Linked DNA regions of Oryctolagus cuniculus. The protein of the gene in region 3 purifies or fractionates together with the protein of the main gene of each other region. This does not show direct contact. Links are inferred from orthologs where the notes say so. Each region holds a gene or a part of one and is shown on either strand. Other genes may lie near its edges. The genes, in order: FN1, EGFR, LGALS1 and ITGA4.

What was found.
Region 1: the proteins of LGALS1 (region 3) and FN1 purify together in Homo sapiens (affinity purification with mass spectrometry; 3 studies listed by BioGRID and IntAct, with this or other methods). This does not show direct contact. The link is inferred for Oryctolagus cuniculus from reciprocal best matches to the Homo sapiens genes LGALS1 and FN1.
Region 2: the proteins of LGALS1 (region 3) and EGFR purify together in Homo sapiens (affinity purification with mass spectrometry; 3 studies listed by BioGRID and IntAct, with this or other methods). This does not show direct contact. The link is inferred for Oryctolagus cuniculus from reciprocal best matches to the Homo sapiens genes LGALS1 and EGFR.
Region 4: the proteins of LGALS1 (region 3) and ITGA4 purify together in Homo sapiens (affinity purification with mass spectrometry; 3 studies listed by BioGRID and IntAct, with this or other methods). This does not show direct contact. The link is inferred for Oryctolagus cuniculus from reciprocal best matches to the Homo sapiens genes LGALS1 and ITGA4.

What each region holds. Positions count from the first base shown.
Region 1 is NC_091434.1:23,977,954-23,981,334, reverse strand, and holds the end of FN1 (fibronectin), read right to left. Parts: intron 1,763-3,381; coding exon 1,652-1,762; intron 1,298-1,651; coding exon 1,226-1,297; 3' UTR 536-1,225; downstream 1-535. UniProt on the Homo sapiens protein: Fibronectins bind cell surfaces and various compounds including collagen, fibrin, heparin, DNA, and actin. Fibronectins are involved in cell adhesion, cell motility, opsonization, wound healing, and maintenance of cell shape.
Region 2 is NC_091447.1:57,745,643-57,749,987, forward strand, and holds the start of EGFR (epidermal growth factor receptor), read left to right. Parts: upstream 1-1,491; 5' UTR 1,492-1,685; coding exon 1,686-1,773; intron 1,774-4,345. UniProt on the Homo sapiens protein: Receptor tyrosine kinase binding ligands of the EGF family and activating several signaling cascades to convert extracellular cues into appropriate cellular responses.
Region 3 is NC_091442.1:114,555,525-114,559,768, reverse strand, and holds the start of LGALS1 (galectin-1), read right to left. Parts: upstream 2,819-4,244; 5' UTR 2,534-2,818; coding exon 2,528-2,533; intron 1,358-2,527; coding exon 1,278-1,357; intron 1-1,277. UniProt on the Homo sapiens protein: Lectin that binds beta-galactoside and a wide array of complex carbohydrates. Plays a role in regulating apoptosis, cell proliferation and cell differentiation. Inhibits CD45 protein phosphatase activity and therefore the dephosphorylation of Lyn kinase.
Region 4 is NC_091434.1:59,370,035-59,374,381, forward strand, and holds the start of ITGA4 (integrin alpha-4), read right to left. Parts: upstream 2,817-4,347; 5' UTR 2,513-2,816; coding exon 2,316-2,512; intron 2,025-2,315; coding exon 1,903-2,024; intron 1-1,902. UniProt on the Homo sapiens protein: Integrins alpha-4/beta-1 (VLA-4) and alpha-4/beta-7 are receptors for fibronectin. They recognize one or more domains within the alternatively spliced CS-1 and CS-5 regions of fibronectin. They are also receptors for VCAM1.

The DNA.
Region 1 (3,381 bases), on a different chromosome or scaffold from region 3:
CCGGCGGTGTGCCGCTCCCCTGCGGAAGTGGGGAATGTGGCCAGGGGGAACTGCCCTTCCACGGAGGTGGAAGGGATAGTAGCCGGCCCGGGAGGAGCCAGCAGCGAACCCGGGGAGGGCCGAGCAGATGAAGGAACAGCACAGGGTCCTGTGCCGTTCCTCCACGAAGAGGGGGAGCGACAGATGTTTATTCAGTGAAGGAAGGAAAAGAGAAAAGAGAGAAGGAAGAATTATAAGTTAGAAAAAACCCAGAAAGAGTGTATCAACTGTATTTCTGAAAAGCTGGCTAGGACATCCCTTAAATCTGTTTTAATATAAAATATAAAGCCATCTCCATTATTGAAGAGAAGAAATGACAAAAATGAATCTGTGATTTTGTAGAGACAGACTGAGTAAATCTTGTATAAACACTATCAAAGATAAGAGAGCCTGGCACATCATAAATTTTCAAGTGTTTGCTGAATTAAATTGAAAAAAAATTCAAGGATTATTATTTCCCCCCAAGTACCTTATATAAAATAGAATGACTTTCACATTGTGGAATGTAAATCTTTTATTAAAACAGTTGTCTTTCCACAGTAGTAAAGCTTTGGCACATACAGTATAAAAAATAATTACCAACCATAATTATACCAAATTCCTTTTTTCAACTGCATACTAAGTGACTTCAATTCAATTTTTTTCCATATAAAAATACTGGTAAAATTGATAAATAACATGTAAAAGAAAGATATTTCTAGGCAATTACTAGAATCATTTGGGAAAAGTGAGTACTGTGGATATTTTAAATATCACAGTAACAAGGATAGGCTGTTCCTACAGTGTTGCGGGCCAGAGTTCTGTGAAAGCAGAAGTGTTTGGGTAACTTTCCTACTTAAAATTTTGTTAAGACCATTTCAACACATTTGGCATTTTGGTTGGTTATATATGCTTCCTTATTGACCCCAAACCAAATCATCAATCACAATCATTTCATTTAAAATACTGAGCGGTATTGAATAATTTGAAGCAGAACAGGCAACATATTGCCCTCATTTATGAGAAAAGTCTCAAAACACTCCCAGGATGATGCTTGGAGAAGCTGTGAGTTGAGCTGAGGCTGGAGCACTTACTCCAGAGCAAAAGGCTTAAAAAGTAACAAACACGCAAAGACAGGGTCTGCCAACGTCACTCCAGTTGGGATGGACCTTTGCAGAGACATGTTTCTTCCTCTGGGGTGGAAATGTTACTCCCTGGAATCTTCTCTGTCAGCCTGTACGTCTAGAGGCATGAAGCACTCAATTGGGCAGTTAACATTCTGTTCAAATGGAAGAAGAAGAAACATTAATGGCAATAGTAGTGTAAGATATGCAGAAAAAATACGAAGGCAGGGAGGGGAGACTCCTATGACAGCTACTTATATGAGCATATAGGATAGTATTTCTTTCTAATAAAAGGAACCTAGCTCACTACACTGGCCCATGATGTTCAAGGCCTTAATAATTTATAAGTTAAATTATGTTCTAGGATACAGGATTGTACTTATCACTTGTGAGTTGTTTTTTTTTTAATGGAAAACATTTGGTTTATTCAGAAGGAAGGTACCTATAGAAAGATCCCCTATTTTGTACCTACTTAGGGTGGGGGAGAGATATGGTACAAATGCACTTACAGTGTTTGTTCTCTGATGATATCTCTGTGTGTACTGGTTGTAGGAGTGGCCGGTAGAGCTGTCAGGACTGGGTTCAACCCCTGGTCTGCGGCAGTTGTCACAGCGCCAGCCCTGAGCAGGTAGATGCATGAAGTCAAATAGGATTTATGATAATCCAAGGACATTGTAATTTAGTGCTTGAGTTCAAGAAGAATTTTAGCTTTATGCATTGGCAAAATATAAGAAGTTAATCACTAAAGAAATTTGATGATGATCTCATGTATTTAAAACTCTTAAGAGTATATTTTTGCTTGTTAATATATCTCTTATCTACTATCTACTTATGTTTTCCCTTCCTCCTCAAATCTCCTCTCTTCTCCCCCCATTGAAACCTCACACATAGGCTAAGGCTCATTTGTGTCCCAACTTCCTCAATAAGCTCTCGGTGCTTGATGATGGAAGAGGTTTCAAAAACTCTGAGAGCTTTCGAAAGGATCCTGAGATCATGTAACAAACACTGTCATATTACAGCTAAGGAAATAGGGACCCAGAGGAGAGCAGTGACTTGCTCCGAGGCAGGAAGGAAGTCACACAGCGGCTGGTGGGCAGAGCTGGGGCTGCCACTCAGGAGTTGAGGCAACCCCAGCCATGCTCCTTCTCCTGCAACAAATGGCCATTCCCCTCCTGAACCTCCCTGGGCCAGTGAGGTGTGAGCCCTGCATCTGGCCTGAGAAGGGATGGTAACTGGGCCAGTGAGGCTCTGCCCTGAGAGTTTTGCTGAAGATGGGAGGAGGTAAAACTGAAGCTGCTGGGGGTCATCAGTGTCACCATCAGCAGAGAGCACACTGGAGAAAGAAGCCAGTGCAAGGAGAGGCAGGCAGAGGCCTTAGAGCCCATCCCTGGAGCAACCCCTTGATGTTGGTAGATTCCAGAACATCCCATTACACGAGCCATGTCTGCCTAAGTTGAGTGAGATTTTTCTTTCCATGGAAAGAATTCTAAATACTATAATCACTTTCTTGCTTATATTTTCATTGAAATATCTGAGAACTATTTCCCCACTTAACAACATATTGTCCTAATACCTAACACAAAACAGGTAAATACCTACTTAGAAAATCAATGGAGTTTGCTTTCAATTAAAAATGTAACAGTTCGCACTTTAGTTTTAAGGGTCTCATTTAGCACTTTCTTTTAGAAGATACTAGGTGTCACACATGAAAGGTTTGTTGTGCATAAATAATGAGAAGATGTTGAAGTGAGATCAAAATCTACTTCTAAACAAATTCAGTCTCCATCACACTGTTATACCAAAATGATCACAGGCTTTAAAAGTGTTGATGAGAGAGATCGGGAGAGGGAGAGAGAGAAAAACTGACTCCACAGTTTCTTTTCCGTCACCGTGGGGACCAGCCTCCTCCTCACTTAACTATTATTGTAAAGAGATCAAGGCAGTTTCCATTGGCGGCTCCTGGTCCTCTGTTAGGACCTGGAGAGGCCTCTAATGACCCTTTCCTGCTGCAGATTAATCTTCCTAAAGATCATGTTTCCATCATGTTCTTTCCCATCTTGGGTACCTGTAATTGGTTAATGCCAAATGCATCTGCCAGTGAAACCTACCCTGGGGTTAGAGCAAGTCCTCAAGTATCAAAATTTGGGGAGCTATGGGGGGAGCGCAATCTTCATTGAAAACAATGGGCTATTATATTCCATTACTTATATTTGTGACACGAGTCGATTCATTTTTATAT
Region 2 (4,345 bases), on a different chromosome or scaffold from region 3:
GCACTGAGGGATCAACAACATCGCATCCATACTCTGCACAGAGTGGGCTGCCGTGGTCCTGCAGTGGGGGCTGGGGTGCCACCTGGAACCTTGTGTGCAAGGCCCCTCAGGGCTCTCAAGAGGAGCTCCTTCCTGAAGTCAGTTATCACTACACTCCAAGTACCTGCAAGCCGTTCAAAATCAACCTGATGTCACTTTTTATATCAAAGCTCAGAGACGTCCCAGGAGGAACTTTAGCAAACCCATTCCTCCCTGTGTGCAGGACTCTATCCCAGTGCTGGGCCCCGAGCCTGGCCAGAGTTTCCACGGACTTCTGCCACCGTTCCTGGAAGAGCTCTCCCCAGCACCACGGAGGAATGTGGTGGGGGCCCAGAAGGTCTCACACTTTGTCTTTTTTTGGGGTACTCAGGATAAATCGCTGCACTTTTAAAAGTCAGTCGAGGGTCACATGGACACCACGATTTGTGCCACCAATCATCCTGGCGGGCAGCGAGTGTGCCTAGGGTTCGTCCGTGGCTCCTGTAGCGGAACGCAGGATCACGGGTGCCCTTCTGTTTCCTGGCTCCTCTTCTAGCTTTTGTCTCTAGCTTTTGTATTTGCGTTTCTTTGCAGCCTGCTCTAAGTCTTCTGGTTTGGAATGTGGGCTGGGAACCAAACACACGGCTGGCTGTGGACTTCACAGCCTTGCTCACCCGGGGCAGCCGCGATTCCTCAGAACAAAGAACAAGCCAGCCGCTCACTCTGGTTCCCCGCAAACCCCACCTTTCCCGCGGCCGGGCGGGGCGCAAACCCGCAGAGCAGGGAAGCGCTGAAGAAGCCCTGGAGCCGAGGCGGGGTGCCCTCGGCCCAAGGGTTCAGAGAAAGTCCCCGCAGCTCCAGGAAGCTCCACTTCCTGTGGCCAAATCCTCAGTGACTCTTGCTGGCGTCTGCGGTGCTGTGCGCGACCGACATCCTCGGCCCTCGCTCCCGGAGCCAGTCCCTGGCACAGTGGAGGCCGTGGGCGCACCGGGACCTCACGCATTCACTCAAGGAACGCAAAGGAAAGCCGCTCTCCCAGCGGGGAGCCGAGCGCGCTCGTTCCCAACGACTTCGAGGGCGCTCAGGGGGCCCCTAGGGGCCCCAGCCGCCCGTCTGGGTCTGGCTCTGCTGGGGACTCTTGCCCCGGGGCCCCAGCGGCCCCTCTGCGTGGTCACCCACCTCGGCCCTCGGGCTCAGCCGGTTTGTCCGGAGCCTGCTCCAGGTGGCTCCGTCTACAGAAGGGGCCGGTGAGGGGACCAGGCCCGGCTGCGCCCCGCGCTGGGAACCGACCCGGCCTGGGGTCGCGGCGCGCGGAACGCCCCTCTCGGGAACTCGCTCCCGGCGCCAGGTCCCGCGGGGCCGCGGCGTCCACGCCTCCGCTCGCCGCTCTTCCTCCCGCTCGCATTCTCCTCCTCCTCCGCGCCTCCGACCCCTCCTCCTCCGCTGGGCCCTCCTCCCGCCGCCTCCCCACGCCCGCCGCCCGGCAGACGTCTGGGCAGCTCGGCGCAGCGCGGCAGCCGCTCCTCACCCGCCGCCCGGAGTCCCCGAGGCCAGGCGCGGGCGTCCCAGGCCGGACCCAGGCGGGACTCAGGCGCCCGCGTCTGCCCCGCGCACGGAGCCCGACGCCCTTCCGAACCGACCGCACAGTTGAGCGCGCAGCGGCAGCGATGCGACCCTCGGGGCCGGTCGGGCCCGCGCTCCTGGCGCTGCTGGCCGCGCTCCTGCAGGCGGGACAGGCGCTGGAGGAGAAGAGAGGTAAGGGCGCGACCCGCACCACACCGCGCCGCGGTCTTCCCGACTTCCGTGAGGACCCTCGGGCTGAAACCGCTCTGGACGTCTAGCTCCTGGGCTGCGCGAGTCGCACCAGGGGAGCTCCGGCGCCGAGCGCTGCCCAAGCTGCTCCATACCCGGCACGTGCGCCCCGCGCAGTCCGCGCACCCATGGGCGGTGCGTCCCACCCGCGGCCCTGGGAGTTTAGGTTGGATCCGGGAGCTGCGCGCACCTTCCGGGACTGGCGCTTCCCGAGCGCACCCTCCCCGCGCCGGCCCCACCCGGTCCCGGGCTGCAACCAGAGGCCCCGCGAGCCCTTCCCGCGTGAGGGGCTGCGGCCGGAGCGGGGGCTGGAGGACTCCTGTCGCCCACCACGCGAGGCTGCTGGGCCGGGACGGCGCGGGGAACTGGGGCTGGGGTCCTGTCCGGCACGCCCCTGGCGCGCAGTCCCCGCCCCGCGCCGAGCGGCCGGGTGCGGCCGGGCCAGGTGCTTGGCGGCGCGGCGAACCCGGCCCCCACCTGCGTGCTTGCTCCGCAGGACTGGCTGGGCGGCGGGTCTCGGCTCCGAGCCCGCCCTGCGCGTCCCCCACGGTTTTCTCAAAGTCCCAAGATTTTCTCCTTTTTGGCGTTTCCTTTTGCTTTCTGAAAAGTTTGATATTGGGCCAACCAAAATATTAAACTGTATCAAAACCAGGAAAGGATGCGGTCCGGGCCCCACGTGCGCGAAGGCCCCGCGGAGTGGGCCTCGCCGCGAGACGCCCGCCGCGGGAGGCCGCGTTGCACAATCCCCGGCTGGGCCGGCTTCCGAGAGAGTCAGGTCCCTGCTTGCCGTTGATGTCATCGGCCTCGGGTCTGGGCTCTGGCGCCGGGCGCGTCTGCGGGCCAGGGGTGCTGCGGCGGCCCCAAACTTCGCTGCAGGTGGGAATCACCTGGGACTGAAAAACGAAAATAGTAATAAACAACGAACTGGAAAAGAGGGGAGAGGGCGAGGGGAGGTTGAGGCGGGGGAGAGGAAGCGAGGACCACGTCCGGCTCCCGCTCACGGATACCCCGATTTAATTGGTGTGGGGTGAGAGCCGGCCTTGGGTTTTAACAGCTCGGGCAGGCTTGCGAGTCCTGGCGTGGAGGAAAGAAGGGCGAAGTGTCCAGAAGGCTCACCCGCTAGCCGTGGAGCTTCCCCCAATCTGCGCAGCTCTCGCAGAGCGCCGCGAAGGCAGGGCTTGGCCAAGGGGGCTCTGAGGCCCCCGGTGCGCGGCTCCGGTACACCGAGTGCTCAGTGCCTTCTCACCCCAGAAGTGCGCCCAGCTCCTAAGTGGGGCTGCCTCCCCGCTGCCGCCGTGGTGGGAGATTTGTTTCTTGTTTGCCCTGTGTTCGCCAGTGCTGTGGTGAGAAAGGGCGCGCACGCTCCGTTAACATGAGGCAGAGAGACTGGCGAGGATCTAATTACTAAAACTGCGAGGCATAATCTTCCTATAGAAGTTGTTAAGGACCCATGTCAATCACGTGCCAATTCCATTCCAGGAGAATTGGTGAGGGTTTTTTGGGTCTCAGCTAGGAAACCGGTATTGGCTGCCCTCAGATCTAACAACCAGACCTGGCTCCTGCGTCCTCACCTCCTTCCTCATTTTCCCGCCCTGCAGGAGAAGATCGATTTCCCCACCGCTCACAAGAGGCAGGGTCAGGGCTGAGACGCCACTGCCTTCTGCAGCCCAGGTGTGGGGAGCCAGGTCAGGTGTACGCGGCTGACTCACCTCACTTGCAGCACAGAGGAAAAGTACCAGGAACGGCTCATCAAGTTGGGCTCCCCTCCTGAGGCTGCAAACACACCCTGCTAACCAGTGGTCTGCTCTCCTCAGGGTTCCTCAGCCTGGTGGGGACAGCTCTGTCACCAAATCCCTGAGCCAAGCTTGCTAGGGGAGTTGAACAAGGCCTGGATCCTCGCTCCAGGGAAGGCACTGCTGAGGAGGAGGTCCTGGGGTGTTCCCAGGAGCTCAGGAATTCTCAGCCACAAGCTTCTTGTGGGGATGAGCCTGGCCACCCCTGGTTCAGTGGGCCTGGGCCGTGTTAAAGAGAAACCAAAGCAGAGGTGGTAGGGAATCCAAGACGAAGGATGGGATGCCCCGGCTGGCCTGGCAGCCGGCCTTGTCTTCTCACTCCAGCTGCGGGTGGAGGTGAACAGGTCACATCCAAGCGCCAAGCTTCTCGATCCCCTTTCTGAGTTCAGTATTTGTGAATTCAGTATTCACTGTGCGTGCCTGGTATCATGAGTTAAAAGGGAGGAGAGTTATGACAGCTACTGGAAATGGGATTCTGCAAGTCGCTAAATACTAGTAAATTTCCTTTTTACTCTTTCAGAGTCTTGTCTATCGCACAGACAGGCAGAAACCTGGTGATAGCTCCAGCCGGCTCTGAACAGTCATTTCTGGCTTCATGCATTTGGTTTCATAATCCATCGTTTTTCACAAACCTTTCTCTGGTGTTTGAAGAAGCCAGCTGCCAAAATCCATTGTGCTGCATGGTTGCGCTTGGTTCACGTGACAGCACTAACATGTTTGAG
Region 3 (4,244 bases):
TATTTATTTGAAAGAGTTACAGAGAGAGAGGGAGACACACACACACAGAGGTATCTTCCATCCAATTATTAACTCCCCACATGGCCGCAATGGCTGGGGCCAGGAGCCAGGAGCTTTTTCTGGGTCTCTCATATGGGCGGCAGGGCCCCAAGCACTTGGGCCATCCTCCACTGCTTTCCCAGTCCATTAGCAGGGAGCCAGATCGGAAGTGGAGCAGCTGGGACTCGAACCAGTGCCCATACGGGATGCCAGGGCCGCAGCCGATGGCTTCACCCACTGCTTCACAACTCTGGCCCCTGTCTTAAGGCCTTGAAAAAAAAACTACTTATTTATTTGCAAGCCAGAGTTACAGAGAGATCTTCCATCCACTGGTTTACTCCCCAAGTGGCTGCAATAGCCCGGGCTTGGCCAGGCCAAAGCCAGGAACTCCATCCTGCGTGGCAGGGGCCCAGGTACTTTTGACCATCCTCCGCTGCTTTGCCAGGTGCATTAGCAGGGCACGGGATCAGAAGTGGAGAAGTCAGGACCCGAACCGGCGCTCATATGGGGCGCTGGCATCACGGGCGGTGGCTCCACCCACTGCGCCACAGTGCCTGCCCCATCTCTTAGAGCCTTGCGGGGCTGAAAGCTCACGACTCCTGCAGACACTGTGTCCTAGCCCCTCCAGAAGGTTCCTGTCTGTCACCCCTGGCGCCCAGCACAGAGCGCCACACAGCAGCAGAGAATCACTGGGACAAATGGACGCATGATGCTGCCCCACCTCTGCACGCTGGGCAAGAACCAGAGGCGACTCACACCGGAGGCTCCCGACAGCATCTGCACTCACTTCCTCCTCACTCCGCACCTCCCCCACTCATCTTACTGATGGACCGAGGCTCAGGGCGGAAGATGGCTCACGGGTCCAGGGTCACACGGCGTGCGGCAAGAGAAGACAGAAGCATCGGCCAGCCACCGCAGGAAGGAGGGCCCTCTGGGAGGCCGGAGGGGACGCCCCCTCATCCCCTCTCCCCGCCCCCACGCTGGCTGCGGGGTGGGGAGAAGGGGGCGGGGCCTGGCGGGAGGTCTGCAGCTGTTTTAATTTAAGAGACTCGGGGAGAATGGTGGAGGGGCCAGACCCAGCGGAGGAAGTGACTCACTCAGCAGCTGCCTGTTAACCCGCTCCCTGCCAGGAGGAGCCGAAGCTCTGGCCGGCCACGCCCAAACCCGGTACCCGCCCAGACGGGACCCTCAGCTCAGAGCCCTGCACCTGCTGCCCGCCGCCCTCCTCCGAGCCTCACCGACTGGCGCTGGGGGCCACCTCGCCACGCACCAGGAGGCTCTGCCCAGGCTGGAGTTTCAGGTTGTTGGCCACCAGACCCTGCGGAGACAAGAAGCCGCCCTGACACGTTAGGGGCCGTGGCCTCTGCTGCCGTGGTAGGGGGCGTGAGGGTGGTCCTTCCCAGCTTGATTTCTCTGAGCAGACCAGCACGAAGCCTGGGGGGTGGGGCAGAGCAGTGAGTTCTGGCCCCTGAGTCTCCCTGTGGACCTGGGAAAGACCCCATCCCCTGCCTGATCTGCTTGCATCTGTACCCAGATGCTGCTTGGGGATTTGGGGTTACAAGGGGTCTGGGAGGTAGGGTGCTATGCTCTGTACCCCATTTAGAAGGTGGAGAGGAGCGGGGTCCTGGTGGGGTAGGTCCCGCTGAATGTAGAGGGAGTGGCCTGAGGCTGCAGCAGCGACCCCCACCCTCTCCAGCCCCTGTCTGCAGAGGCATGGTGGCCACAGAGGCGCGGCCAGGGCCCTGTGCAGGAGGGACAGCAGCCAAGGCCGGGGCTGCAGCCAGGCCGGCTCAGGGTTAACACGGCCGAGCCACTGCGGGCAGCCGGGCACTGGCGCGGGGGGCAGGAGGGCGGGAGTTAACTGATGTGAGTGGTTCCTTCTGCCAGCAATCAGAACCCTTTCCCTGGGGGCCTGGGAAAGCTTCTGCCTCCTCCCCACCTCGGCCTCCAAGCTCGGGGTGACGTGGGGGCCCCCCCAGCCTCCACCTGACCAGGCTGGGCAGGACCACCCACCCCCCTCACCCAGGGAAGGCCCCAGCCGGGCAGCCTCTCTTAGGTCCCGGCCACTCTGTAGAAGTCTCTGGAGCAGAGGAGGATTCTGAGCTGGTCGGGTGACTGGGGACAGCTGCAGGGGGGAGGGGAAGGAGGCTCTTTGCGGTGGAAGAGAGGAACAGTGGCCTGGGCCTCACCAGTCTACCCCCCACCCCCTGCCCTGGCCCCGGCCACACCCTTCCCACTCCCACTTCATAGAGAACTACAGAAAGTCAGACTTGGCAGGAAGAACTGTCAGACCTTGAAAGGATCCAGAATATTCTTAAGCCAGAGAAGGCCTTGGGGGACCATGGTCCCCACCCCCATTTTATAGATGTGATCACTGAGGCCCAGAAAAGAGAAGGCAGTCCTCCAAGGCCACAGAGCTGGGACCAGAGCCCAGCCCCCGCTCCGCTACACTCTCCCCTGGACTTTGGGAGGAGGGCCCCACACTCACAGCCATGATTGAAGCGGGACGATGGGTGATCCCAAGACTGCAGCACCGGCTGTCCGGAAGGCCCCGCCCGAGAGATGGCTCCTGATGGCTCTCACCCTTTTTTAAGTGACCCGGACCCTGGTCTGAGTCCCGCCCCCTGGCAGCTCAGCCAATTGTAAGTCAGAACAGGGGTAGGGGTGGAGTCCATGGAATTTTGAAGCCAGTTCTGGAGCAAAGGGTACCAATCAGAGCGGGGAACTCCCTTTTTAGCCACGCCCCTGGGGCCCAAGCTCCACCTCCTATTCTGCCTCCAGCCCCGCCCTAATCTCCCCAAATTTGTGCTGTGGCAGAGACTGGGGGAAGCCAATGGAAAATAGTTGAGCTGGGCCCAAGAGCTGATGGGACGGGGGCCTGGGGCCAGCAGGCAGAGCCCAGCGCGTGTCTGGAGAAGGCAGGGGCGGGAGGGAGGGCGTGTGCAGGGGGCTCCAGGGAGTCAGCGCTGGGCTGGGGTGGGGGCTGCTCCCAGGCAGGGTCAGGGCGTGGCTCTGGCTGTGGGCACTGCAGAGGGATGGGGACCCAGGACCACAAGGCCCGGGCCCCCCCACAAGTGGGGCTGTGCTCTTCTCTGAGTCTAAAAAAAGCCTGGGCGGGGTGCCAGGCCCCAGCCTGCCAGCCGGTGCTCCTGCCTCGGTGCTTCTGGGAGGTGCGCGGCCGGACAGCTCTGCCTGAGGGTGCCCGGCCTGGGGAGCAGCCCGGTGGGCCCGGCCGTGAGGGGTTGGGGCCCCTGCTCTGGGCACCCAGTCTGCTCTCTTCACTCCCCCCTTTGCCCGTGCATTCAGCAGCTATTCTGCGCTGTAGCTCCCACATGCCTGGCCCTGGGCTGGCCTCAGGACCTCCGGAGACGACTCCCTCACTGTCCCTGTTCCCAAGGAGCCCACGGTTGGGGGACACCAACCGGGAACCTGATTAAGAAGCGGCACCGGGCCGGCACCGCAGCTCAACAGGCTAATCCTCCGCCTTGCGGCGCCGGCACACCGGGTTCTAGTCCCGGTCAGGGCGCCGGATTCTGTCCCGGTTGCCCCTCTTCCAGGCCAGCTCTCTGCTGTGGCCCGGGAGTGCAGTGGAGGATGGCCCAGGTGCTTGGGCCCTGCACCCTATGGGAGACCAGGAGAGGCACCTGGCTCCTGCCATTGGATCAGCGCGGTGCGCCGGCTGCGGCGGCCATTGGAGGGTGAACCAACGGCAAAGGAAGACCTTTCTCTCTGTCTCTCTCTCTCTCTCACTGTCCACTCTGCCTGTCAAAAAGAAAAAAAAAAAAAGAAGAAGAAGAAGAAGCGGCACAGTCACAGCAAGCCCTGTGGTGGGATGGAGACGCCGCAGGCCGTGGAGAAGGTGGGTCTCTGCAGGTGCGCAGGAGCTCAGGAATGAGAGCGCAGGGGTGGGAGCAGCAGTGGGCACGTGGCCCTGCAGGGGGAGGCTTGGGGGACTAGGCCGGGAATCCAGATTGTACAGGCTTCACAGGCCAGAGGAAGGGCTTGGACACAGTCCAAGGTGCCGGGCAGCCACAGAAGGTTCTAGAATAGTGAGTGCTGAGGCCCGACTGGGGCTGCAGAGATCCCTGTAGCAGCAGAGGCGAGGCTGGTGGGAGGGCGCTCCTCTCACATCAGGAGGCAGGTGCACAGAGGGCAGGGAGCGCTGGGCAAGGTGAGGGAACCCCCAGGGAGCCATCCTGGGCACC
Region 4 (4,347 bases), on a different chromosome or scaffold from region 3:
TGTACCAGATGCTCAAAGAATTTAGGTCTTCCTTTCATTTATTATAGGCATTATTATCTTGAATTTTATATAATACTACAACCATATCGTTCTAGTTCAACATAGACATCCAGAAATAGGATCAACGTCCTTCCAGACAGGAAGTAGGTTATACTATCATGGATCAGGAAACTGGCAGGACATCAGAAATGAAATTGTTCCCTCCTGAGACCTTGTCACCACTCTCTAGCAGATCAAGGTTGACCTAACAATGTTTTATGAATCCTCAGTCTACCTTTTGGGATGGGAGATGCTGAACAAGAAGGCGGGGCTTGTTCTATGTGCTGCAGACAACTCCTGGATTTTGGTGGGTGCTGAGTGCAAAATAAAAATTCTGCTATGGGCATTTGCATTAGTGATTAGTACACCAGTTAAGATGCCCACATCCCATATCAGAGCACTTGGGTTCGCTGATCAGGTGATGGCTCAAGTGGCTGGGTTCCAGACAACCATGTGGGAGATGTGGATTGAGTTCCTGGCCCCTGGATTTTGTTGTGGGCATCTGAGGAGGAAACCAATGGATAGGGGGTCTCTCTCTCTCTCTCTCTCTCTCTCTTTCTCCCCTCCCTCAAATAGACAAGAAATTAAACATCCCATTATATGTACTCTACATGAATTCATTTGAATGAAATAAACCAGCTTCACTGTTTGAGAAGAAACAAAAACTACACGAAGATGAAAATGGGGTTACACAGATGCAATCACTAGCTAATCCCTAGTCATTTATCGCAAAGAAAGATGAACGAAAAGTGCCAATTGTGACCTTTTGGTTTACCATGTACAGATGATGTATTAGCTCAGGAGACCACATACTAGACCCTCTATTTAACTTTATTTGCATTGAACATGCATACACAACAGGGGTTAGACTCTGGACCCAAGCATACCTGACTGACCAGTAATAACGGGGTCCCAGCTACCAGTCAGTATCTAAGTAACTCCAGAAAACATATTTGCAACTGTCTGAGTCAGAGTCCTCAAAAAGAAAAGTAGGAACAATGTCAACCATCACCCAGGGGTGCTTTTTGAGAAAAAAAAAAATTAAGCAATGTATATAGCAGTGCCTGACAGTGTTTGAAACAAGATAGGTCAACATTAGTATTAGTTCCCCTTTCTCCCCCAGAGTGCCTGTAAGCAGCAAATTTGCTTTTGTCTTTGAACATGAAACTTCTCCCTTCCCCCAACAGTACATATGTTTCGTGTTGTCACAAACCTACAAACAGGCATTAAGAGATGACCGCAGAAAGATCCATTTAAAGCAGAGTTTTTGGCAAGGAAAACTAGTAAGTATAGTTTAAGCCTCGTGTTAACTATCAACGATGGAGATGCCCATGTTTTTCCTTGTACACTTATTTTGCATTGTATATTCTAAGAAAAACTACATTACTTTCTTTTCTGTTCTCTCTCTTTTTTTTTAAGTCCTTAGGTTAAACGACAGGCAACTGCTACTCCTGATCTGTCCGTTAGCCTGTTCTTTAATAAAGTTGATAGGTCAAAGCTGGAAATAAAACGTTTAAGTCTTGACCTGGCTGAATCCTGTTCTTAATATGCTGAGACTTTGAAATGTGTTTTTGCACAAGGTGGGGGCGGGGGGTAAAAAGTAGGCATCACAAGGAAAGGTCCTCTGTGTAACCGTGCCACAGTACTGCAATCAATGTCACCAGCGAAAGAGAAAGATACAGGTAGAAAGAAGGGGGCCGCTTTTATAATAGACAAGAAGACAGTGTGGCATTAACTCTGCGAATCATGCACCTTAACGCAGAAGGAATAGGCAACAGGGCTTTTTCCAGGACTTGCCCTACAGTACAGTCCTCAAGGCTGGGGGGTGCAGGACGGTGACTTCTGTTCCCAGATCCAACTCACCCAGCTGGAGCTGTTCGCACGTCTGGCCCGGATTCTGTCCGATCCTGCATCTGTAAATCGCCCCAGGACTGACCACTGAAGCGTTGGCGAGCCAGTTGGCAGTGGGCGCCCCCACTATGAGCCTAGAGAGAGAAACGTGCGCTCAGACGTGAGCGGTGCTGCCCGCTGAGCTCCAGGTCTCAGCAGGCATGGGGCAGCCTCCCCCACCCCCTCCTCTGCGCACCACCCGCGCACTGCGCCGGCCACCCCTACTCCCCGGCGCTGTCCCCCAGAATCAGTATGCTTCCCGGGCAGATCTCTAGCAAACTGGCTGTATCGCATTTCCCCACCGCCTACGCCCCCGGAGGGGAGGAAAGTTCCAACCCGACCGGGATCTCACGTCGCCCTGAGATGCCCGTGGCAGCGCCACTCACCATCGATTCGACCCGTGGCTGTGCAGCGCGACAGAGTAGCCGAACAGCGTGCCCGGGGGGCCCTGGTAGAGCAGCGCGCTCTCGGTGTCGAGGTTGTAGGGGCGCCCGGTCGGGATCCCCAGGCACAGCAACAGCATCACCGCCTCCCGGACGGCGGCCCCTCGGGAGCCAGATCCACGCCTCGCTTCCCCAGCCATGCGCTCTCGGTGGGGAACATTCAACACCAAACGGCCGCTCACCCAAAGTTGCTCGGGACGCGACGGTTGGCCAGGGGTTAGAGCGCCCCAAGAGAGGAGGCGCAGCGTGTCCGGCGCCGGCTGGCGGGAGGGAAAGAAGGAGGGACAGCCCCAGGGAGGGAGGGGAAGTCGCCAGCCGCGGGCGGGGCGATAGCCTTCGGCCCGGGTTGCCGCGCCCGCGCCGGGCCCCACGCCCCGATCCTGCGGCCTGGAGGTGCCGGCGCTCACTCGGCCCCGGGGCGCGGGCGGCTAGGTGGGGTCTTGGGCGTGGTGCAGAGGCGCGGGCCGGGCTCCGGCTCCCCCCACGAGCGGCTGTAGGGGGCGCTGGGGGACCTCGGCTACGCAGGACGCGCGTCCCTGCCTGGGCCTCCCAGCCCAACGAGGGCGGAAGGGTTCGGGAATCCGGGGCTTAGCAAGAGTGGACCTGGAGGGAGCAAGGGGTTTCCCCTTTCAACCGTGGCTAGGGCCTGGATGCACTCGGGGCGTCGTGGCTACTGCCCGCGCACGCCCCACTGGCAAACGCCGGGTCTCTGCGGTCCGCCCTAGCCCCGGGGACCGGCGCTGCGGCGGGAAACCGTGTAGTCTTTTGGCGGATTGGTTAAACGCAGTATCTGAATTTGGGGGCTTAAGCAACCACCAGAAACATTGACCAGAGGATCACAAATTTAAAAACAAAGAGCGAAAAAAGAACTCCCTCTGACGGCGCCCGGGGAACGTTCTGGTGACAAAGACGCTGCGACTATTCGCTTCATGACTCGCAGCCCTGCACCCTTCTATGCCCACTTCCTTCCTCCCCGCACTTCCTCTTAAGTCCCGGCTGCACGCGTGAGCGAGCAAGAAGCAGGCGCCCCCGGCGGGATGGCAGCCACGCAGGCTGCCGATGACCCCTGCAGCGAGTCTGGGCTAGGAAAGCACCGGGACCCGCCCCGCTGGAGCGGTTTTCTCTTCCGGCTTGTTGGTGAGACCCCGGCCTCGCCTATCCTCAGAGGTGTGAGGTCAAGGTCAACATGGTCCTGGAAAAATGTGCTGGAGAACCACAATGCAAGATTTGGACTGGGCCATGTTCTCATCCTAAAGCAATTCAGTTTCTTTGTTTTAAATTTTTATTTAGTTAGTTATCTTTATGAAAGACAGAGAGAAAGTGAATCAGATCTCCCATCCTTGGCTCACTCCCCAAATGCTTGCAACTACTCAATCCTGGTCTCGCGCGTGGGTAGCAGAAACTGGAGCATTTGGGCTATCACTACTGCTCTCAGGGTGCACAGTAGCAGGACCCTGGAATGGGGACCCCAGCCACCAAAGTCACACACTCCTGTATGAGATGCCATCTTAGCCACTGTGCCAAACGCTCATCCTGGTCTCTTTCTTGCGCAGTCAGTGACAGTCATAAATAGTTATTTGTAGATGTTGGTACATTTATTACTGCTACTTGAAAATATAAAAGAAAGAAGAACAAGGCTTCATCATGTAGTCTATGTGCATACAACTCCACTGAAATGGCACATGTTAAGTTGCAGACACATAATGAAGATATTTGTTCACCGATCCAGCACATTCACTGAGTAGGCACCTTGCTAGGCCCAAAGGATGCCACCAGGAACAGGGCAGGACTGAAAACAAGTCCTCAGGAAAGTTTTCAGTCAAATGATAGATGACAAACTTACTAACTAGAGACAAGTCCAGAGACGTTAGGGACATTTCAGGAGAGATTTGAGGGACAAGGAGCGTGCAGGGAGGTTCAGCAGTTTGAGAGTTTAATCAGGAGGGTCTCCAACAGGGCCAGGTGAAGGAACTGA